Linked DNA regions of Ovis aries. The protein of the gene in region 1 purifies or fractionates together with the protein of each later gene. This does not show direct contact. Links are inferred from orthologs where the notes say so. Each region holds a gene or a part of one and is shown on either strand. Other genes may lie near its edges.

Evidence for each region.
Region 2: the proteins of EIF4E (region 1) and HHEX purify together in Homo sapiens (affinity purification with western blotting; 3 studies listed by BioGRID and IntAct, with this or other methods). This does not show direct contact. The link is inferred for Ovis aries from reciprocal best matches to the Homo sapiens genes EIF4E and HHEX.
Region 3: the proteins of EIF4E (region 1) and ANGEL1 purify together in Homo sapiens (affinity purification with mass spectrometry; 3 studies listed by BioGRID and IntAct, counting the BioPlex papers as one, with this or other methods). This does not show direct contact. The link is inferred for Ovis aries from reciprocal best matches to the Homo sapiens genes EIF4E and ANGEL1.

Annotation. Positions count from the first base shown.
Region 1 is NC_056059.1:26,264,171-26,272,273, reverse strand, and holds part of EIF4E (eukaryotic translation initiation factor 4E), read right to left. Parts: intron 6,222-8,103; coding exon 6,115-6,221; intron 793-6,114; coding exon 697-792; intron 1-696. UniProt on the Homo sapiens protein: Acts in the cytoplasm to initiate and regulate protein synthesis and is required in the nucleus for export of a subset of mRNAs from the nucleus to the cytoplasm which promotes processes such as RNA capping, processing and splicing.
Region 2 is NC_056075.1:13,872,619-13,880,566, reverse strand, and holds the end of HHEX (hematopoietically-expressed homeobox protein HHEX), read right to left. Parts: intron 5,995-7,948; coding exon 5,816-5,994; intron 5,644-5,815; coding exon 5,593-5,643; intron 3,812-5,592; coding exon 3,593-3,811; 3' UTR 2,713-3,592; downstream 1-2,712. UniProt on the Homo sapiens protein: Recognizes the DNA sequence 5'-ATTAA-3'. Transcriptional repressor. Activator of WNT-mediated transcription in conjunction with CTNNB1.
Region 3 is NC_056060.1:86,229,915-86,238,017, forward strand, and holds part of ANGEL1 (protein angel homolog 1), read right to left. Parts: intron 7,660-8,103; exon of another isoform or gene 7,602-7,659; coding exon of another isoform or gene 7,538-7,601; exon of another isoform or gene 5,120-7,537; intron 4,260-5,119; coding exon 3,681-4,259; intron 2,750-3,680; coding exon 2,523-2,749; intron 2,056-2,522; coding exon 1,986-2,055; intron 1,394-1,985; coding exon 960-1,393; intron 1-959.

The sequences.
Region 1 (8,103 bases):
ATGTTTTTAATAAGCTGTATCTTTCATGTTCTCCAACAGTTTCTCCCTAAATATTTTTCAAGCAAATAAGACATAACTAAACTGTTTTAAAGAATCAATATTCTAAAACTTCTTGCACAGAACTTTATAGCTCTAAATTAAATTATATAGCTAAATCTGAAACAAAATCTCAAAAATATTTCAAGTATTCTTAAGTTTTATTTACAAAGTGCAATAAAATTATCTATCATCACAGATACTGTCATTCTTTGACAAACCCTGATTTATGAGCAGTTCAGCCTTTGAAATCTCAGAATCTTTATCACAGGAAATCCACAGTTTATACAAAAAAGAATCTGCAGAAATGCTAAGAAAAGCATTCTTTTCCTAAGAAAGCTCTGGAATAAAAATAGAGCAAATTTGCCTAGGTAACCAAGAAAGGGGACAAGGTCCTAAAAGTTGTCAGAAGTTCCAGTGACAATAAAGGATTCTCAATGAATGATATCTTAGGACAAGGAATAGAATAGGCAGAGCTAAATGATGACAAGATGGAAGCTTTCTAAAACTGTTGAGAAATAATCACCAATTCTAACAGTTGTGAAATGATGAACAAGCAAAAAAGTAAATATCAACTGTTCACCTTACCCTTCTTTTTGCGAATACAACTTAAAATAAAAATGTACACAATAAAACAAACATCCTAAAATGGTTACTTACGCCCAAAAGTCTTCAACAGTATCAAACTTAGAGATCAATCGAAGGTTTGCTTGCCAAGTTTTGCTTTTATCATTTTTAAAAAACCAGAGTGCCCATCTAAAAAACAGAAAGTCAGTGTCAACAGAAGTTTCACATCCATGTTCAAAGCAGCAGTGAGTTCACTTATTAATAAAAATGTTGTCTGAAGAGTTTTCAAGTAGACATATATTTTATAACTTCATGATTAATGCTTGATAATTTCAGACATATAAAATGAGATGCATTTCAACACCTACCTGGTAATTTGTATTTGCCAACCCGTGATCAAGGAAAAAAATATTTTGAAAAAGCAAAGGCAGAAAAACTACTAAACATACAGTATCAAGTACTGTACCCTGGATTTCTAAAACTAATTCAGTCTTTCCTGAAAAAATAAAAAAACAGAACTACCATTTGATCCAGCAATTTCACTTCTGGATATTATCTGAAAAAATGAAAATACTAACTTGAAAAAGATATATGAATTCCCATGATTAGTACAGCTTTACAAGAGCTTAAGATACAGAAGCAACTTAAATGTTCATCAAGGAGTGAAAAAAGAAAATATGTATGTATGTATGAATGTGTATATTCAATGGATTATTCAGTCATAAAAGAGAAGGAAATTTTGCTATTTCCAACATGGATGGACCATAGGACTTTGTAACAAGTTAAATAAATCACACACTGGACAGGAAAAGCAAATACTATATGATTTTGCTTATACATGAAATCTAAAAAAAACTTTAAAAAAGGAGAAAAACCCACCCCAAGCTCACTGATACAGAGAACAGACTGGTGGTTCCCAGAGGCAAAGGGGTGAGGAAATGCATGAAGGGGGTCAAGTGGAACAAACTTCCAGTTATAAAATAAATCATGGGGATGCAACGTACAACAGAGTAAATACAGTTCATAACACTGCACTGCAAATGTGAAAGTTGTGAAGAGCCTAAATCTTAAAAGCGCTCATTATAAGAAAATATATTATAAGTATGTATTGTGATAGATGTTGATTATGATCATTTCACAATACATACAAATACTGAATCACTGTGCTGTACATTTGAAATTGTTACACTTCAACTGAAAATAATAAAATTCCATTCCATTAAAAAAAAATTGCAGCCATTAAAGATTTATTCTAGAAAATGACTGGATGACTAAGCAAAAATATCTGTACAATAACGTTCTTAAATTTGGAAAACTGGAAACATCATAAGTGCCTATCAACAGTTCTAGAATGTGGTTTACGAATCCCCTTAGGCATCTTAAGACCCTTTCAGGAGCACTGATGAGTAAAAACTATTTCATAAAAGTCCTAAGATATTTTATTTTTCACTGTGTTAACATGTTCACTGATGATGCAAAAACAACAGTAAACCTAGCAGTGATGTACATAACAAGAATCATACAGTGGCACCCATGTCTACCATTTGTCACTGTTCCTGTATTATAATCAACTCTCAGAAGAGTAACTGCCAGTTTCTTGTAAGAATGCCACTGATGAAGCAGTAATAAAATACTTGTTTTATTAAATTTCAATCTGTGCACATGTTTTTTCTGCACAAAAAATACTTCTGCATACCAAAGACAATGCTTAGGCATTGAGTTGTGAGGAGAACTAGTCGCTTTCTCAAAGAACACCACTTTTACTTGGAAGAATAGGCTGATCAATCATGGTTACGTCTTGAAAAATGAACAGAGTGAGCATGTAGCTAAAATTTAAGCTTTCAGGAGAAAAATCAGAATTTTGGAAAGCCTGCAGGTGTCACTGAGCATGACAATTTAACAAAACTTGGGTATATTTCTGGGACATTTAGTAATGATAATGTTATTGTTTTGATATCATATAATAAAAAATGCCAATATTAAGGTCTACAGACTCACTGAACCAGTATTTTCTAAATGACCAGTGGTATTCATGAGTGAAGAAGGATATATATATTTCAAATGCAAGACAGATCAATGGATTTTAAAGCAACAGAGTAGAAAAAAGTTCTTAGATGTGGTTTCAGATTCTTTATTGCAACTAACCTGCAAGAAACCTAGTATCAAAGGAAGGAGATATTCATAATTATAAAAGGCCATTAAAATTTCTCCTTTTCCAACCATGGTATATTTGAGGTCATATTTTATCCTTAAACTTCCTCTGAAACAACGTATCTCCAAAGACTTGAAAATGCAGAACCAGCTATGAAAACCTAGCTGATTTCTATTAAGCCAGGCACTTGAACATATTTACAAAAACGCTGTTCTTCTCATTATGTATTTTTTATTTTGAATAAATTTTTTCCATAAAAATCATTTACATTAAAATGCAATGGGTTAAGTACATATGTAATTTTATATTTTTTGAGATTTTCTAATATAGCAAATGAAAATAGATGAAAATCTATATAACCTGTAAAACACTGTGGAATCCTCAATAATTTTTAAGAATGTAAAGGGGTCATGAGCCCAAAGAAGTGAGATTTAAATAATTACAATAAATAATTTTAAAAATATAATAAACATAATATATACATGCAAGAAGACTTCTAGGCCACTATTAAATGTGTTAATTGTGTGGGTTAAAAAAAAAAAAGGATAAATATGTGGGTAAAATTCTCTTAAGACTGACATGAAACCCAGAAACCATGGAGGAAAGTTGGCATTTGATTATATGAAAATAAAAAAACCTTTAAAATAACACAACTCTTTAGACAATGTTAAAAGACAAATGATTTGGAAGTGTATTTCAACCTAATCCCCCCTTGGATCGGTTAGCATCCCTAATGTACAATGCTTAGAAATAAACTTGAAAAGATAACCAAAAAGAAAATAACAGACAATAAGAACTGAACAGACTTCTCACAGGTAAAAACACAAATAAGCAATTGTCTTGAACAAAACTGTTTGAAACTTCAATAGAAGAAATGCACATTCAAAACAATAAGACATTGTTTTCGCAAATTAGGCTAGAACCAACCTGACAGGCAATTAAATTTAAAAGACTGACGGTACCAGTTGGCAAGGATGTAGAAATCAGTAAGTCTAAGCAGATAAAGGAGGATAATTTGGCAGTGTCTACAAAGGTAGATAATGAGCAGTCTTAAACCTAAGAACTCGGAAATTTTACCATATAGATATACCACTATATTCACACAAGTGCAAAAAGAAAAAAAAAAAAAGGATGCATACATTAGTACTGTTTGTAAATTTAAAAACTCTGCATACTCATTAATGTAAGCCTGATAAAATATGACTGTATATTCATTTAAAACAAAGCTGTGGATTAAAATAAAGACTTAATAGTATGGCAATCTGCAATCTGTATAGATTAAAAAAGTATATATATGTACATTGAAAGGTTTTGGAAAAATACAAACCAAATTTTTAACAGACTATTTTGGGGAGTGGAGCAAAACAAAATGAGGAAGAAGGTATCAGGGAAAAACAGAGAACTTAAAACTTTGTATACTTAGAGCCTCAATGATTTAATCGTTCTTATAATACGATAGTGGTTTTTATTTTAAAGAAAACATAATTCCTTACAAAATTATTTACAAAAAGTAAATAATGAAGAAATCACCAAAATCAGAACCAAAAATGTCTTAGAACAGTTTTCAATGTGATGTTATTTTACACAAGAAATAAGAAATTATAGAGAAATTAAAATCTTCACAGACTTCATTTTAGGATTTAATCAGTTTGTTCACTGATAAGGGCACCTTTCAGGAATCTCAGATTTCATCTTAAGCTATGACGGATATATGCCTTGATCTCCCACAATAACAGCAACATGAAGAACTGTGTTCACAGAGAGAAAACAGTGAGCTTTTTATATGATACCACTGAAAAGATGGGGGGAAAATACTTTAAAGGTTTTAGTACTGCTGCTAGGATGAACTGTATAAAACTGCCACTCATCAATTGTCCAACTTAGTATTAGTTTGGCACAATCTTTCCTGAGAAAGAATTTTTTCCTTTTATCAACTATTCGACCTTCGGTATTTCACACATTGGCTGACAATCCACAGTATCTAGAGAACTGACTTGTTCCTCCCTGGAGGGTACGCTGAATCACCCACCTTCTATGAAAAAACTACTAAAGCATATTTGGACTATTACTTCAGAAGGTCTACAATGATAATGAAGAAAAAAAAAGGACATAAAGGAACAACACACTTTTCAGATAAATGAAACCTAATTATAGACTTATAGGGTCTGGGAGAGGGGGAATGAAAGGAATTACAGATCCTTGAAAGTTAATTTATCTAATTTACTTTCCTCCAGATTCTTACAATGTTTCTAAGTGTTCCCACCATCAGCTCTCAGTGAATTAAAGTTAAGTTTTATCAGATAAACAAGAAAGATAATTAAGTAAAAGCACATACTGGGAAGTGGTAGGGTGGAGATAGGAAAAAGCATATACTGAAGTATTAAACTACTACATTGCAACTATGAAAACTTAACTCATCCTAAACTCTCTTTTCCTCTTCTAAACTTCTCTTAAAATACAAACCAACCAATATCCAGACTCCACATACCCTAGGTTCTTTCTTCTTCACAGACCATCTCAACTTTATCCTTCAAATTGTCTATTCCTGCTCTATACATTTGTATATTTCTATTCACTCTTCAAACTACACCAATCTTTTTCTATCATCTACTCTACTAACTTTCTCCAGTGTTAGCAAAGACTTATTGTTCAATCCAATGAATATTTGACCTTTTTGGGGCATATATGCTGTACCTTGTCCTTAAACCATTTTCTTGGTTTCCATGACTAACACTCTGCCCTAGTTTATGCAGTATATATGTCTATACTCTTCCACAGGCATTCTTAAAAAATTTTATTAAAGTACAGTTGATTTACAATGTTATGGTAATTTCTGCTGTACAGCAAAGTGACTTAGCTATACATCTGTATATATATTTTCATATTCTTCTCCATTATGGTTTATCATAGGATATTAACTATATAGTCCTCTGGGCTATACAGTAGGACCTTGTTGTTTATCCACTCTCTCTATATAATAATTTGCATCTGTTAACTCCAAACTACCAGTTCATCCCTGCCCAACCCCCTCTCTCTTTGCACCACGTCTGTTATCTTCATAGCCATTCTTACCCAAAAAAAATCCCCATGTGCTAATATTCCAAGCCTCTGTTGTGAGTCAGATTCACTTAAGAGAACTCATTTACTCCTATGGTTTCAACTACCATTCAAAGTTACACTTCCTGAGCGCAAGATTCACACATAAAACTGCTTGCCAGATGTGGGTCATCAAAGTGAAAATGGAATCCTCAACCTAACATACCTAAAACCAGTCTATTCTAACCTTCCCCTCCAAACCTGTCCCATTCACCATTTATGTTGTTGCCCAAGTCAAAAAATCTATGTGTCAGAAAGCTTACCTGTTCTGTAAAGGATGTTTAATATAGTGTTCTGGGTTAGCAACCTCCTGATTGGATTCTGTTTTCTCTTCTTCTGTAGGCGGGGGATTTGGAGTAGGGGTGGTTTCCTAGTGGAAAATAATTAAACATTATAAACTTCTTAACATGAAGAAATAACATTAAGAAATTTATTTGTACATTTTTATTGAAATATAGTTAATTTACAATGTTGTGAAAACTTAATCTCTATGACAGCAATACTCTAAATAAATCTTAACCAATACTGTCCATAACATTTTTTTTAAAGAATGAATTATAGGAGAAGCATTTGATAAAGTAGACCACTAGCCAAACTCTAAGAAAAGCACTAGACTCTTCTAGCATCTCTTCATTAAGAGCAAAATGTTTCTCAAATTTAAAATATATATTGTTATCTTCCAATTACAAATTTAACATAAGATTGTTAGACACCATGGAAAATAGGAGAATGAAGTATCTTTAACATCCCATTAAAGTGCTGTGCATGGCAGGGGTGGTTAGTGGGAAGGGCCAGTTCAACTAAAGTTTGGAGAGCATAATTAACTATATTACATGACACACAAAAAATCTTTATAAAATGAGTAAGGCAATACTACACAGATCCTTGCCTTCATGTCACACTGTTATGATATATGGTAACTTTATAAAGTTGAGCAACTTCTGTCATTTTCAAACGATCCTAAGGAAAAAAGCTGGACACCAGCTTGAATTGAAATCTTCTAAATCGGGAAAGGTGTACATCAAGGCTGTATATTGCCATCTTGCTTATTTAACTTATATGCAGAGTACATCATGAGAAACACCAGGCTGGATAAGTACAGCTGGAATCAAGATTGCTGGGAGAAATATCAGTAACTTCAGATATGCAGATGACACCACCCTTATGGCAGAAAGTGAAGAACTAAAGAGCCTCTTGATGAAAGTGAAAGAGGAGAGTTTAAAAGTTGGCTTGAAACTCAACATTCAGAAAAATAAGGTCATGGCATCCAGTCCCATCACTTCATGGCAAACAGATGTGGAAACAGCAAGAGACTTTATTTTTCTGGGCTCCAAAATCACTGCAGATGGTAACTGCAGCCATGAAATTAAAAGATGCTTGCTCCTTGAAAGAGAAGTTATGACCAACCTACACAGCATATTAAAAAGCAAAGACATTCCTTTGCCAACAAAGGTCCGTCTAGTCAAGGCTATCGTTTTTCCAGTGGTCATGGATGTGAGAGTTGGACTATAAAGAAAGCTGAGCGCCAAAGAATTGATGCTTTTGAACTGCTGGAGAAGACTTGAGAGTCCCTTGGACTGCAAGGAGATCCAACCAGTCCATCCTAAAGGAGATCAGTCCTGAATATTCACTGGAAGGACTGATGCTGAAGCTGAAACTCCAATACTTTGGCCACCTGATGTGGAGAACTGACTCATTTGAAAAGACCCTAATGCTGGGAAAGGTTGAAGGCGGGAGAAGGGGATGACAGAGGATGAAATGGTTGGATGGCATCACCGACTCAATGGACATGAGTCTGAGTAGACTCCGGGAGTTGGTGATGGACAGAGGCCTGGCGTGCTGCAGTCCATGGGGTCGCAAAAAGTTGGACACAACTGAGCTACTGAACTGAACTGAAACACAGTTATCATCATCATTTAAAAATGTCATGGAAAAATGGAGCCTGAGAATAATGCATATTCCCCACATTAACCTATGCAACTCTTCACCCTACTGTAAATTGGCACCAACAAAAAGATTGCTAAGAAAAGGGACCAGAAGCTGAAACAAGTTGATACAAAAGAAGAGGGCACTGCAACAAGTGTCTGAATATCAGATTTAAACTGAACCAGAAAAACAATAAAGATACATATTCACATTAACATTTTCTAAATCAGAGATGTATGATCTAAAAGATTTCAAAGCAGACAGATGATACATATTTTACAAAATAAAATTCATTTTTCCAATCAAAAAGACACCTCCAGGAACTA
Region 2 (7,948 bases), on another chromosome or scaffold:
GGTAGTATAACTGGAATGAGAATTTTGGTAAGTGTGTTCTGTCCCCAGCTAAATGCATTTCCCCCAAGACTAGATACATTTTCTTAAATCTCTGCCCTGCCCCCATTAACTAAAATGAATATTCACAGCAATGAAACCGCACCAAAAAAAAAAAGGTTGCCAGAAGTGTTGAAAGAGAATAGGTACTTTCACTATCAGAGATGGTTTCCTCTTTTCCCACAAGATGTCTTATCAGCTTTCACCCTGAGAAAACCATAAAAAGTAAGAAAAAGAAAACTTATGCAACAGTTCTCTAAATAAAATACTACACAGCAAGCTAGTCATCCCTAAAAGTGATGTTGTTTAAAGAGTCAAAGTACATCATCCAACAAAATCAATATCCTATTAAGTTAGGAAGGGTTCTGAATATCAAAGACTGACAAGCTGAATAACTTAAAGTATAAGTACATGACCCAGGGGATTAATCACACACAGTCATGATGAAATTAGGGCAATTCTTCCAATCATTAACGTTTTGCTTACAAAATGTGCTTTTCTGTTTGTCTTTCTGCTAAATGATAACCGTTTTCAAGTTGAATCTGCTGATAAAAAGAGTTAAAAACAAGACAGGAGTTGTGCTGTAAAGGTCATACATGCTGCTTCAACATGAAATAGCCAAAAGACAAACAAATGAAAAATGCCTGGATTGTAGGAAGAATTTGTAAATATTCACTGGCAATCTGCAGTGGGACACTTTAGAAAATAGTTAATGCCAACCTGTGTCCTGAAAATACTGTACTTCCTTCACGTAACACACTCTGGACTGTTAAAGACATACTCAGATTCAGAATAGGAGCAACCTTCAGAGAACTGGGAATAGCTTTAAACTGGAAAACGGCCTGGTGTCAGGGATTGTCTACTTTAAAATGAGCTTCACTTCTCAGTTTTTCTAGTGTCAATCAATACATAAGCCTTTATTTCTCAGCTTGATAGTCACGATAGTTATTCTCAAGAATAAATATTAACCAGAGGTTATCTCCAGGAGTGAAACACACACACACACACAGATTTCAGGACTGCTCTAATTCAATATTAGGCCCACAAGCCTCTTGTTCTCCCCAAACTCTGATACAGTCAGTCCTCTTTTCAGATGAGACTATGACCTTTGAAACTTTGATGAAACCTGTCAGGCAGGGTCAGGGAGCCTGGAACCTGACTGCTGAGGAGAAAGGAGACCCTCTGGCTGGATGTCTACTCTGGACTCCAACACTGAGAACTGAGTTGGGAATTGGGAGGGTGAGGAAGGGCTGGTAGAGGTCAGGTAGGTCAACTAGACCATCTTCATTCAACAGATGAAGAAACTGAGGCCAAGAACTAAATCTCTCACCGAAATCCTTAAGCTTCCAGGCCAGTGCACACCTGTCTGCTTCAGAACCCAGGACAAATTTTCTCAGAAATTAAAATTCACAGGTAATTCCAAGGGCCTTCCTGCAATCTCAGGAGGCAAGAAGGTGTAACATCCCTAAATGCACTGACTTTTTCACTCTCTTCACCTGAGTGCTCATGTCTGGGGGGCCACAGCCCTGGTCAAGCCAGGCCAGGGGCAGAGTCACTCCTTCACAGGACCTCAGGCCAGAGGCATCCAAGTCCGTAAAAACTAGAGACCTCCAAGGAGCATCAGGCTAGAGGAAGAGATTTCTGGCCTCTCCCCTCAGATCTCCGCTCATCATTTTCCTGGAATGTCAGGAACCTGGTGGCTCAGTTAGGCGAGCAGCTGAACTGGCAATACCTGGGCCAGTCAGAAACCTCTGCCCACCCTTCTTCTCAGCCCCATACCCACCCTCAGCTCAGCACTTCCTTCCTCCCCAGCTCACAATACCTCTTCTTCAGCCCTGCTCCCTTCTCCACCATCGAAATGCCCCCCATCTTCCCTTTCCCTGCTCCTCAAAGCTGCCAGCCTCCTGCTCCCTCAAGGGTGAGGGGAGGAGAAAGGGCGAGGCGGGGATCACGGGTTTCACCTGCTTCTTCCACACAAGAAGTGCCTTAGAACCCCTGACCAGCAGCTTGGACACACCTGGGTACTTGTTAGAGCGCAAATTCCCTGACCCATCCGAGACCTACTCAAATCAGAAAGTCTGGGGATGGGGTGGGCAACGAGCCCCAACAAGGTCCGCGGGAGATTCTGAAGCTCACTGAAGAGTGAGAACCGCTGTCTTGGCACACACTGCTTTTCCCCCATCCCGCCTACCGGCCAGGGGCCCCAGCCCTCTAAGCGGACCCCCAACCTGGACTCGGCCGCCAAGGGATGACGCATGTTGACTCAGGCAGGTCAAGGACGGCGCCCCGCCGGCCCCGCGAGCCAAGCCGGCCCGCGAGCCAAGGTGAATCGATGGCGCTGCGCTGCGGCGGCGGCGCAGCTCCTCTCCCCGCCGCCTGGCGCGTCCAGGGCTCGGGTCCGCAGCGGGCCTTCCCCGCTGCTCCAGACACACTCACACTCAGCCCCCAGCGAACCCAGATGTGGGAAAGGCCCGCATCTACCTTCCAGGTGCTCGCCACCGGTCGCCGCCCTGAACCGCCTTCCCGAGACGCCAGAAGCCGAGAGACACACCGCCAGACGCTCCAGACGCCCCTGCACCCGACCCCGCCCCAGCCCCAGGGCCCAGCCAAGCACCCCAGGCGCTGTAAGATAAGGGGTAGGTTTGGTCAAATCCAAGAATGAGAGGTTCAACGAGGTCAGTCGTCCCACCGACGTATTTATTTTATAGACAAGTTACTCATTTTTAAAAAAAACACACATTTTGGCCATTTTTTTTTTACAGTGAACAATTATATATACACACATTATAAACACTGTTTAATATAAAACATATCTACAATCTACTTACATTTAATTAACCTGCTACTTCTAGTTCATCTGTGATTAAATTTGGTCACTGATGAGTCAGTTTCTCTGCTTGAACTGGACTGTACTATCCCCTTAACACCTTGGTCAAACAGGTACTAAGTGATAGCGCAAAAGAAGCATTTAAAGATTATCAACTGTGTATATCTTTTTGACAAAAAGATACATACATCCCCCAGATAAGAACTCAGAAACAGCTTTGGAGTTAAGGCAATACTATAAGAATGTAATGTATAAGTAAGTAACATTTTCTTTAAAATATTCCAAGGCTGCCTGAATTGTGGGTCCCCTTTCCAAGGCACACCTCTGGATCTGGGATGCTCCTTTGCTTTTCCATTCAGTAGGATGTAGAAACTGATTATAGAAAAGTCATTCAAGAAGCTCCTATTAAAATCTTTAAAGTTATAACTTAAAAATTTAACCAAAAAGTTCAAAATTACTTTTTATAAATAGAAAAAACAATTTTTTTAAAAAAAGGGGGTGAATTTAATCAGGGAAGAGTCCCTTTATCATACAATCTAAAATCGGTATATAAAACTATTTAAGTCAAAAATAAGGTTTCAATGTGAGTTTGTTATTTAGTCAGTGCACCAAATATTTTAGATTTCCAGAATACCAGAAAATTGATTCTCTCATACAGTTTTCAGGTTCATCCAAGGAGATTTCCTGTAGCAAATCCCAGTTTTCCAAACACACCAATGTCAGTGGTCATCATCCAGCATTAAAATAGCCTTTATCGCCCTCGATGTCCACTTCCTGATCAGAATCCTCTGAAATCTCTGATTCAAGGTCTTCCTGGGAGACAGGGGAGGGTGAACACTGAGAGCTATCCAAAGCACCTTTATTCTGTTCACTAGGCAAATCTTGCCTCTGGTCGCAAGAACTGTCCAAACTTTCCAGTTCTTCTTTTTTATTGTTTTGAGGGTTCTCCTAAAAGAAGAGGATGAAATGGAGATTGGTCAGATGATGAAATACGGAGAAATGAGAGATATAAATCAAATGTTTTTTCATCTTCCATCATCTTTTTTAATTTTTAATTTATCAAGTGCTTTCAGGTATAATATTTTATTCAGAAAATACATATTTATGCTTCTTTCTAACTTGGAAGGTAAACTTCCTGTCATATCAGAGAACAATTATACTCTTCTTGCCAGATAAAAACAACTAACCACAAATATAACTAAATGTATTATGTCAAACGAATACTTAACTCCAGCCCAGACCTATGGTATCAAGGTTCTTAAAAGTTTAGGAAGAAAAAGAAATCAGATCACAACAGATACACACTATATTCTTCAAATATTTAAATTGACAAAAGTCTTTTAGACACTTAAAAAATATGAATGCTAAATAATGCATTAAGGATAAAAGTTTCAAAATTACTAGACTGAATTGTTTTTTATGCATTTTCTGGACTAAGTTTACAAACATATACACACATAAACATATATAGCAAGTTACAATCATGGCTAAGAAAAATGCAGAATTGGAAGAATGTTGCCAACTGAAAAGGGAAATAACTATAATTTACTTAAAATCTGGAGGAAATTTCTTGAAAATATTCCCTTATTACACAGGAATGACTATTTTTAAAGTCCTTGATAAACTACCTTTGACCAAGAACTAAATAAGTTAATAAATTTTTAATCCTGTTTTTGTCTAAAATGCACATAAATACTATGGAAAACTATGATATACTGCTAAAGTTTTTTTTTTCCTAAAACAAGACTATAGAATAATAGATTTACCAAGCTTATAATTATGTGGTAAGTTACAAGGCTCAGATATTGAGAGGAAACTCGAAATTTTAAAAACTGCGTTAGAATAATGAAATTATGGGAATTTTATTTTGTTTTAAAGTGTTTTTTGTAACATTGTTTTTAATGAAAAAATTATGATTGCTAAATTTGAAAATGCAAACTGCTTTCAATTTCCCTATTCATTTCAAAAAAATTTTATTTATCATAAACTATATAAACTGGTAAGTGAAAACTTCCGCATTTGTCAGATAACTTAGAAAATATCAGATTAGAACATCAAAAACAAATCTTTAGCTCTAAGTCAACAGAGCTTCTTTAAAAACTGAATTAGCCTTTACTTTTTATCACATATTACGTAACAAGGTCACTGGAAGAAAGACTGTTAGAAAGTTTAAGCTACTTTTCAAACAGGCTTGGGTAGTCTCTTGCTGTTTTTATATTCATTTTAAGAGCTAGAATTAGAAGGAAAATAATTTTTAAACTCTTTGATATTTAATTCTTCTAAAAAACAGTGCAAACAAGACTTAAAGGTGTTTATTTCCTTATATTTACCCTTGAGCTCTGCCTGGTTTTATTATGGCTGTGTAAATAAAAGAAACAATTTTCTCCCAAAGATAACTGCTTAAGTCATTTACTGTCAATTACTTTATCTTTCCTGCGTTAATTAGATAAACAACATATGGGGTTTATAAAACAATTAGCTGGGAGTTTTACTAGCCAGTGTGTGAAAACCCAAGCATAATTGATATAGGAGCTGCATTAGGTGCTTTTAGCATTACTGCCGCCTGAACAACTCATCCTGAATTTCAGCAGGACTATTTGCCTTTTTAATCAAGGTGAAGAGGTTAAATAGTCCCTCAAATGACTTTTGCATACAACCTACAACAGGCCCCGCATTGAAATAACATGGTAAAAATATTTATTTCCATAGAAACAGAACCATTTCAATACCTGTTTTAGTCTTCTCCATTTAGCCCGTCGATTCTGAAACCAGGTTTTGACCTACAGAAAGACAGAAAGAAAACTTGCCACAAGTCCAGAATCCCGAGGGACCTGGGAAGGCGAGGAGAAGTTCAGGAGTCAAACAGCTGCCGGTGGCCTCACTGTCTCCCTTCTGCCCCGGAGACCCCGGCCCCAGGAGACTCCCCGGCCCGCGGCCCGCGAGGCGACTCACCTGCCTCTCGCTAAGCTGCAGCATCTTGGCCAGCCGCTTCCTCTCGGGCGGGGAGAGGTATTTCTGGGTCTCAAACTTCTTCTCCAGCTCGATGGTCTGGTCATTGGAGAACCTCACCTGGCCTCCTTTCCTTTTATGCAGAGGTCTCTGCAAGAAAGGGCTCCAGAGCAGGGGTTTGCCTGCGGGCCAGAGCGTCTTGGTTAGAAGCGGCCCTGAAGCAGCCCGGCCCACCCGTAGACCAGCCTGCACTGGGCGGGGGGTGGGGGGGGGGGGGGGGGGGGTGACAAATAAGGGGAAGGGAGGCTGCTGGGCACTCAATCAGACATATTCACATATACCCGTTGAGCCACGGACCCAACAGGCTCCCACTAATACACATCACACCCGGAGACACAGGAACATCCAAAGGCATACACCTACACTGCACATGCACGAAGGTCACATTCATATGCCCACAGACCCACACAACCATCACACCCAGAGCCAGATACAATCATTTTGATCCCCCAAAGAACATCGACTATAGTGACTGAGCTTAAAAAATACCATAACCTCTTTAACCAGGCGCTCTTGGAATGTATACACAACTAACTTTATTAGCCTAGACCTGCAGAGGGGTCCTCTCCCTTGGTGAACCAAACTTTCCAAAGATCCGTGTGTGCTTTATGTTGGGGGGAGAGGGTCTGTCACACTAGCCAAAGCGTCGCTGACAGGGGCCGGCGAGCTGGCGACCAGGAATGCCCTCCGGCTCAGGCGACGGGTGTCAGTGGAGCTTCCAATCCTGGCCGGAGGGCGCAGGCCCCCCTCTGATTTCACACCCGACCGGCGGGGGCGGCCAGTTAAAGCCACCCCGTGGGCTATGGCAACATTTCCGTCAATGTGTTTCCTGTTGGTCTATCTCGAAAAACCCTTTGCTTCCTCCTGCTTAGTCCCGAGGAAACCCAGGGCGCGCTCTGTGAAAACGTTTGCCCCCAGGCTTGCCGGGCGGAGGGTCTCCCTCCGGCCCCAGCAGGCGAACAGAGCCACACCGGGCCTGCAGCATCATACCTTCGAGGATGGAATTAAACACACAATAACTTAAAAAAAAAAAAAAAAACCACTAAAATATAATTCCCCCGAAAGTCTCTGAGCGATGAGAAAGGAAGGTGGAGAACTGAGCGAGGGGCCCACCCCATAATAATGCTAACACTAAAAAGTCAATTAATTAAAATGTCAGTTATCTCCAGGGTGCCTACAGAAGCTGCCAATAACAGACAGTAGACGTAAAAGCCTGGTGGGCCAAGGCAAGGAGTCGCGTTTTCTGTACCGGAGGCTTCAGAAGACCGGAGGCCCCAAGGGCCACCAGGCGCGGATCACAGGTGGCTCATTTCTTAGGGCGCGCACTGAGGGGATAAGTCCCGCAAACTTCGTTCGGCCAACGTGTCAGCGCTGCCCTCCCTACTCCAAACACGGGTGGGTCAGTCAGTCCGTCTGTCCGTCGGTCTGCAGGTCTGCGCTAAACGCTTTGAAAGCGGGCAATGTTTTTTTTGAGAGATTTTGCTTACGTCAGGATTCAGACTGGTGCAAAACAGCCTCAAAAAAAAAAAAAAAAAAAAAAAGGAAGCAACTGGTTATTTTAGCTGCCATAAAGTCACATCCCACACAGAGGAAATGAACAATATCAGAAAAACGGATCCCGGCTATCAGAAGTCGAGTGTTTCCTGAATTTGTCTGTATTGAGGATGTCGATAAAATAATCAGCAGCGTGCACTACTCCGGGGGAAGGGTCTGCTTCATGCAGCCAGGAAAACACTTAACAGCTTCTGAAACCAGATTTACTCCTATCGAGAACTCAAGATTTCCTGTATGAACGGAAAGGGTCAGGCTCTTTCACTGCACAAGCTTGTTGAACCAGGTCCAGCCCCGTAACCACCCGGGGCCCGACATCTATCCCTGCCCCTCAGGGGCAGGGGGAGCGGCCCGGGCACCTTGGCACTGCCTTCCCGGTCCCTCCAGCTAAGGGAGCCTCCCAAACCCCCGGAAGACAAGCGCCCCCAGGGCTCCTTCGGCCGCCGGCCCCCGCGGCAGCGCCGACGGTCTGGCTCTGGCCCGCGCGCCCCGACGCCTGCAAGGTGCAGGAAAACCAATCTGAGT
Region 3 (8,103 bases), on another chromosome or scaffold:
ATTAAGTGACATATAAAGGAATCAGCACAAGCTGAATGCTCCTCAGCAGGGCTAAATGAAGCACAATAAAACTGTAATACAGCTATGTTACAAAGATTCAGCAGTCAATAGGAATGAGATAGATACATATGTGCATTGTTAAGTAAAAAAAAAAAAAAGCTAGAAAATAAAATATACAGTAATATGTCATGTTTACAAACACATACAATAGAGTAGATATCAGCCATTAGAAGCAGTCTCAGCACAGTACTGGAGGGCAAGAGCCCTGGGGCCAGACCACCTGATTACAAATCCTGGCTCCACCACTAAGGACCTGCACAAACTATAGAGAGTAAATGACCTAACTTTCTCTATGCCTTGAGTTTCTCACTTATAAAATAGAAGCAATGATAGAATTTGTGGAAACTAATGAGTTAACGTAGGTAAAGTGCTTAAAATAGCATCTGGCAGAGTTAGTGATTAATAAATAGAGACTATGACAGTTACATCACCAGAGCAGTTTAGGTAGCACTGCAAATGCACAGAAAATGACCTGGAAGAACAGCACCAAACTCTGAACAGTTATTACGAGACTCTAAGGGGAGACGTGGGAAATGCAGGTAATAAAGCGGGCTTTGGTCTTAAGCCCGCTTTATCACCTCCATTTCCCACGTCTCCCCTTTGAGTCACGTAATAATGCTTGAATCCTTATAGAGAGGTACTTGTGTATATCTGTGCATTTACTTATGTACTTGTAAACTAAACATAAATTAATGATAAACCCGAAAGGATTCCAGGATACCAAAGGCACTCACGAGCTCCCAACTTCCAGGTATGGGTACCAGAGCTATCAACAGGACACGAGAAAGCAGGAGGGAGGCAGCACAGGAGTCCCCTGGGTCCCTGCCACAGAAGCAGCCCTGCATGCCACACCCCAATCCCCCTGTAAGTCAAGCCAGCAGTGGCCGCTCCCATCTCACCTTCCAGGCTGGCATCCCGTGGTACTGGAGCTCTCCGTCCCTGATGAAGTTGTAGAGAGGTGAGTCGGGGACGGAGTTCAGGTCCCCACACAGGACGATGGGGCAGTGGCTGCCGTCTGACAGCCTGGCCACCTTGTCCACTTCGGCCAGGAGAATGGCCATCTGGGCCAGCTTGACATCGCCCCGCCGTGGGTTGTACAGGACGTGGGTATTTGCCACACATAAGGGGGCCACCGAGACTTGCCCCAGACCTTCTGGGACCAGTGGCTGCAGCAGCAACACTAAGCCCACGTTGTCCCGATTGAGGAGCTCCAAGCCAGGCCGAAAGTACTCCACGGGGCTGGCGCAGAGCAGACGGAATCTCGTGGGCTTGTAGCAGACAGCACAGCCATCTGTCTTACACCCGGTCCTCCTCTTGTAGAAACAGGTAAAGCCTGCAAGGAACACCCGGCCAAGGAGATCGGTCAGAGTCCTTGAACCCTGCATCCCTCCAACCAATGCCAGCAGCCCAGGTGTGTGTGCCCAGTGCACCGCTCCTGCTGCTCAACACGGGGGAGTCTGTGTCCTGACACATCCCTGGGTTCTGCAGAGGTTCCCTTACAGCGGTAACCAGATGGCTGTGCAGCTAGAAGGGGAAGGAGGGACAGAAGGGTGTGATAGGAAAAGCATGGACTCCGGGGTAAGACAAGTTGGAGTCCAGGCTCCACAAGCTATGAGCTTTTTTATTTATAGCTTTGTGACCTTTGAGCTAGTCAGTCAAATTTTCTGAATCTCAGTCTCCTCCCTATAAAACGGGGGTAATAATTTCAGCCTCAGAGAGTTGGTAAATAGATGTAAATAAATGGCAATGTATGTCAGAACCACTTTAAAACTTCAGGACTCTTGTTTTTCTTCTTACTCCACACGAGGGAGCTAGCTCACAGGTGAGAGGGTTCACTGAGATGAAAGAAGAGATGGTGTGTTCAATAGAGGGCAGACAGGGTGGAAGGAAAAAAGCCTGGCACACGTGCCAAGGAGCGGCATTACCCATCATTCTCAGAGAGGGCTCCAGCTGCTCCCAGTAATGATCTTCCTGGACTTCCTGGAGACACAAGATCTGGGGAAACGACACAGAGACCAGTCACTCCAGGGTAACGGAGGGCACCGCAGTGTGACTCCCACCCCAGGAGCGGACGCTGAAGCCACGTGGGAAGCTGCTGTGGGTCTCAGGCTGGGCCACACTGACACTTCCTCTGGGGGCTGACTCTTCCCAGACTGCCACTCCAGCAAAGAACAGGCCCCGAGTGAAGCTGGATTTTCCTGCTCCTTGAATCCCTCAAGTCTTCTTCCCTGCCTAAAGGTGCTAGCGAGGGTGTACCTATGGAGAGGCATCTTAGTATCTGCCCAAAACTCATTTATACCAGGCAGCAAGTTCCCATCCTAAGCCGGACTCTAATCACATGAACAACTGTGGGTGAACTCATTTCTCTAAGGGCACAGGGAAACAGCCAGGGTCCGAAGCAAATGCAAGATGGCACACCCCCATCCATCCCACCCTCCCCGCCCGCCCCCGCCTTCGCTTACATCCGGGTCCCAGTGCTGGAATTCCTGCATGAGATTCGCAAAGCGATAGTTCCAGTTGAGGATGTCTGGGTGGCAATGCAAATAGAGCTCGGAGCTCTGCTGCATCAGGTCCTGGGCCAGGATATTATAGGACATCAGAGTGAACTGGAACTGAGGGCCATCCCCTGCTTCCAGGCCCTGAACATCTGGCTGAGTGGAGAAATCCTCCCATTCTCGCCACAAGATTTCTGCAAAGGGGTTGGGAAGAAGAGGTCCATGGTTGAGTCCATGCTATCCACAGGGCCTACCATCTCTACTCTGGCCCAGCGATACTGTGACAAAGTTCCCTTTCTCATTTTCCCTGTCATCCGTCCCTTTCTGTGGTGATCTGAACAACACTCTAAGGACAGCCTCAGACCAGAGAGTAAGCGCCACAAAGCCAGAGACAATCTTGGCCTGTTCACCACTGTATCCCTAGTACCTGGCTTAGTACCTGGTACTTAGTCCACTAAAATTCACTAAACATGGCCAGCAACTCCTCACTTTTGATAAAGCCATTGGTCTCCAGGGAATCACTCAGATGAATGCGCTTAACAGTCATCTGAGATTAAAGACATTTCTAGAGTAGTCTCAGCCTTGGCTGTTTTCTGACCTCTACACCTGGAAGGGCCTACAGAACCAGAAACTGTAATGTGTCCCCTATATCCCCTAGAGCAGGGAGCTAGCTGTAGAGTGGACTGCAAACCTATGTGAGGCACAGCCTCATTCTCCAGATTTTCATGGAAGCCCAATATGTAACACAGATAAAAATGGAGTTATCCTGTTTGGGGCAGAGAAAGCGAAATCCCTGAGAGCTCTCCACCCTTACCCCAGGTTCCTCCAGACAACCAGTAACACAGAGAATGAGAGCTAGGGTCTGCTTTCAGTTCTACCACTACCTAGCTATGTGACTTTCGGCATGTCCTGCCACCTCTCCGAGCCTTGATGACTCCATCTCAAAAGGCCACAGGGCTAGATGAAATGACCTCTAAGGCCCCTCTGGATTTGCCGCTGCAAGTCTCAGAAAATCAGAATGTGGCGGCAGAGCTCTACACAAAAGGGCCTTCTCTTTAGCAACGGCTTTGCCCACCTCCGAGACGACCGCTGCCCCGGCTCGCTCAACCAGCTGTCAAGACTCACCATGATATGGGATTTCCACTGGGGGAGGCTGAAGCTGCCCCAGACCCTCAAAGGGCCAGACGGCAGCCTCTTCCTGGGGCACACGCTCCGGTGCGATGCTCCAGGCCACCATCGCAGGGTCCTCATCCCACTGTTCTGTGGCCAGCGCACCCATGGGGAGGACGGCACAGTCTGTGTACTGGGGGCCGGTCTGCACGGGCACTGCTGCCCACATTGGGCCCTCGACCTCCGGCAGCAGCTCCTCCTCTCCTAGCACCTCAGGAAAAGGCTCCTCCAGGTTCTCTGCTGCCCGCAGGTCACTCAGCTGCCTGCTGGACCACTTGTCCTCAGGAGCAGCATCCTGTTCTCCAGGATTATCCATCAGGAGGGCCAGGCTGCTCTCGGCGAGTCCCTTATCTACAAGGGGACCATCGCTCACAGTTGACAGCACCTGGCTCGACCCTTCTTCCCGCCACTGCTGCAGCAGGCCCTCACACTCCTCCTGGTCGGGGCCCCGAGGGGCCATGGCAAAGTCGCCTTCTACCTGGGAGGACGAGCTCTTCGCCAGGAGGACATTTTTTCGACATGTGAAGAAAGCATCTAAAAAGAAAGCCAAAATACCATGTTATAAGATGATGGCATCATTCAACTCACACTCCTCTCTCAACTTCTGATATAAGTCTCGTGTGCGTGCATGCTCAGTCGCTTCAGTAGTGTCCGACTCTTTGCAACCCTATGGACTGTAGCCCGCCAGGCTCCTCTGTCCATGGGATTCTCCAGGCAAGAATACTGGAGCAGGTTGCCACGCCCTCCTCCAGGGGATCTTCCTGACCCAGGGACTGAACCTGGGTCTCCTGCACTGCAGGCAGATTCTTTACCACTGAGCCACAAGAAAGCCAGTAAGTCCCATACAAGCAAGAATCATATCCACCGTGCTCACCATTGTATCATCACTGAACCTGCCTGTTTTAGGGTCTGGAACATAATCATCACCAGAGCCAAGTGCTTACTATGTGTCAGGCACTGTTCTAAGGACTTTACAAGTATTAACTAATTTACATGGTAGGGATCTGATAAATACTCTGTGCGTGAATGAAAGAATGGCTATCCCATATAATCGAGAACAGAGATGATCACATATAACCACGCTCCTTTTGTCTGGAGGCTAAGAATCCTATTAACTTCAACTCTCTGGTTCTAAGAGCCACATGACACTGGAACCAGCACTTGACCATAATCATAACTGTGGGTTGTGGCCCAGCACCGAAATGAACAAAACTGTGTGACCTTAGACAATGCCCCTAGTGAGATGGACTTACTCTTGACTGTAAAATGAGGACGAGAGAACTGTGAATTGGATAATCCCCAAGAGCTTTTCTAGTTCTATAAATTTCCCCGTCTATGAATGCATTCCAACAGAAAGTAGACAAAAAGGGTGTCTCAAAATCTGGACAATCTACCTTTTAGCAAAGGCCTGGGGTCCTCTTCTCAAAGCTATTTATTCTACTCATAAATCTTCACAAATATCATTATCAGCTTTCCCATTCCATAGCGCTCTGCTGCTGCTAAGTCGCTTCAGTTGTGTCCAACTCTGTGCGACCCCATAGACGGCAGCCCACCAGGCTCCCCCGTCCCTGGGATTCTCCAGGCAAGAACACTGGAGTGGGTTGCCATTTCCTTCTCCAATGCATGAAAGTGAAAAGTGAAAGTGAAGTGGCTCAGTCGTGTCCGAGTCTTCACAACCCCATGGACTGCAGCCCACCAAGCTCCTCCGTCCATGGGATTTTCCAGGCAAGAGTACTGGAGTGGTGAGCCATTGCCTTCTAGAGGCTGCAAATCAGAAGGTGCCAACAACTCAGCAAGAGATAGCCGCCACCTCTCTGCTACAGCAGCCACAATGACAGCCAACAGGCAAAAGAAAGTAGGTGGGAAAAACTCTAAAATTAGAGGCCCCCAAAATCCAAGCACAGTACTGTGGTGCAGACAAAACATCCCCCAACCAACACACACTAAGTCACTTGTTTATATCACCCAAGTGACATGGATGATGTCCCTCCATCACTGGAGACGCATTTCATCAGTTCCTTTTTTTCAGGCAAGAAAAACTTCAAAATGGCTCAAATGTTGAAAGACACTCTTATTTATGGCCTGTGTGGATTTAGATCCCTCAAACCTCAAAGTGGTGATTCTGCCCTCAAAGAACATTTCCACATCGTCTGGAGGAACAGTGGTCGTCCCAACTGTGGGGACGCTACTGGCATCTAGTGGTTACAGGATAAAGAGATTGTGAGCATCCTGCAGTGAGAGACAGCTCCACAAGGAACTACCAAATATCAATAGTACTGAGAGTGGGAAACTCTGCTTTAAACCTATGTGCTGGGTTGCTGGTTTTAGTCTCAGGGACTCGCTAATTCACTGCCCTTTGAAACATCCTCTATTTATACCAAATGGCAAAAGTTCTTTGATTTATATGTGTGAGGTTACTAGTTTTCAAATTTAGGTTTTGATTGGTGGTGGTTTGTGTTTTTCAGCAGAATTTTCATTCAAGATAGAAAATCTGTAGAAACCAAATACACAAATAGGACTACGTTAATAGGTGTGTACCTATGGATGGGGGGAGGCCCACACCTATGGGTGGGAGGGCAGCCAAAACTCTGGCTACTGGTCAAGAAACCTCTGGACTAGAGGTCACTAAGTATAGGTCACTAAGGCTGCCATTATGAACAGTGGCAAAGCTCAAGAAATAGCAGCAACATGGCTAGAGGAATATGCGATGGTTCTCTGAAAGCAATGCCTTCTGTGGAGTTCCTCATTTCTAAGGAGTATGTATACACAAAACATTCTCGGATTCCTGAACTGAGTGCCTACTATAGTCTGGGTAGTATGTTAGCAGTAGATACAGTGAGCATAACAGACAGCCCTGCCTTCCTGGAGCCTGCATTCTAGTGCGCAGATACAAACATACATGTACATACTTTAAGTGTTTTATATGAAATATGAAGTAACAGATATTACACACACAAAATGTAAAATTCCAAAAAGGAAAAGCGCAGAATGCACACAGCTGGACCTATTTCTAAGAAATAGAAATTACTCTATTCTATTCTAAAACTCCTTCTTAGTCTGTCCTGTCCCCTAAAATGCCAGAGAGAAGTCCAGGAGTGCTGTGCGATCTCCGAGCGGAACGGATGGTCTCTTAAGAACAAGAACCTCGGAAAAGTCAAAGGCCAGGAATGGGGTGCGCGGGCAAACCCCGGCAAAGTTAAACAGTAACTCTTCTCCAGGCCGCCGCTGAGCACTGCCTCCACCCACGACATGTCTAAGCGCACGGAACAACTGTTTCAAAGATGAGGTTTCAACGTGTCTCTGGATTCTGCTGTTTTTCAACCAAACACTCCGCAGAGAGGCAGCTCGGAAAGGCGACTGTGGAGTCGACCCAGGGGAAGACAAAGCAAGTCCAGGTCTTCAGTCCACAGACCCCTAAAGGCCGAAGGGCCCCTGTCCACGGAGAATTCGGGCACTCGCCTCGGCCCCCAAGGGGGCCAACCCTCCCTGACCCCCCGAGAAGTGACTCAGCGGGCCCCGGAGCCTCTCCGCGCCGGCGGGGCCAGAAAGTGGGGGAGAGGGGGGGCTCCGCCCCTCCCCCGGCAGCCTCCACGCTGTAACTGCGGCCCGACGCCTCCAGGCCACCGGCGTGAGGAGGTGGGTGGGGGGGTGCCGCCCACGAGGGTCGCCGGCCAGGCCTGGGCCTCGCGGAGTCCAGGATAAACCGGTCGTGAGGCCGGCCGCGCAACGCACGCCGCCCAAGACCCCGCGGGGGCCCCGCCAAGGCAGGCCCGGAGGCTTGGCACCCGCCCTTCAGGACGCGGGGCCGGTACCTGAGAGGGCGCGGAAAAGGCGCGCGGCCGGCAGCAGCAGGTAACACAGACACGACGCGATCATGGCCGGCCGCCCGCGCCCGCCGCCCCTTCTCTCCGTCACGGCGAGCCGGTCTCCCTCCGCTAGCCCTGCCCCCGGCTCCGCCCCGCTCCCGGGCCCGCCCCGCCCCTCCGGCTCCGCGCCCCGCCTCCCCGGCTCCGCCCGCCTCCCCGGCCTTGCTCACTTGACCCAGCTGCGCTTCAACAACAACTTTATTGGGCACGCAGGGCCAAGATTGGGAGACAGTTCCCAAGGCAACCGAGCGGAGCCTGCAGGGCCTGGCTGCCGGCAGCGGCGGCGGCACCAGGTGCCCCGGCATTTAACATTAAACCCCTCCTTGCAGGCCCCGTAGTGTTATTACTAGTCCACGGTTTTATTCCCACTTCTGCCGCTTGACTGGGTGTCCACCTTGGGTACGCCACCTAACCATTCCTTCCATCGGTTACCACGTCTGTAAAATGAGGGGCTAGACTTTGTCTCTTTAAGGTCTCACCCAGCATGACTTCTGTGATCTTACCCTTCTCAG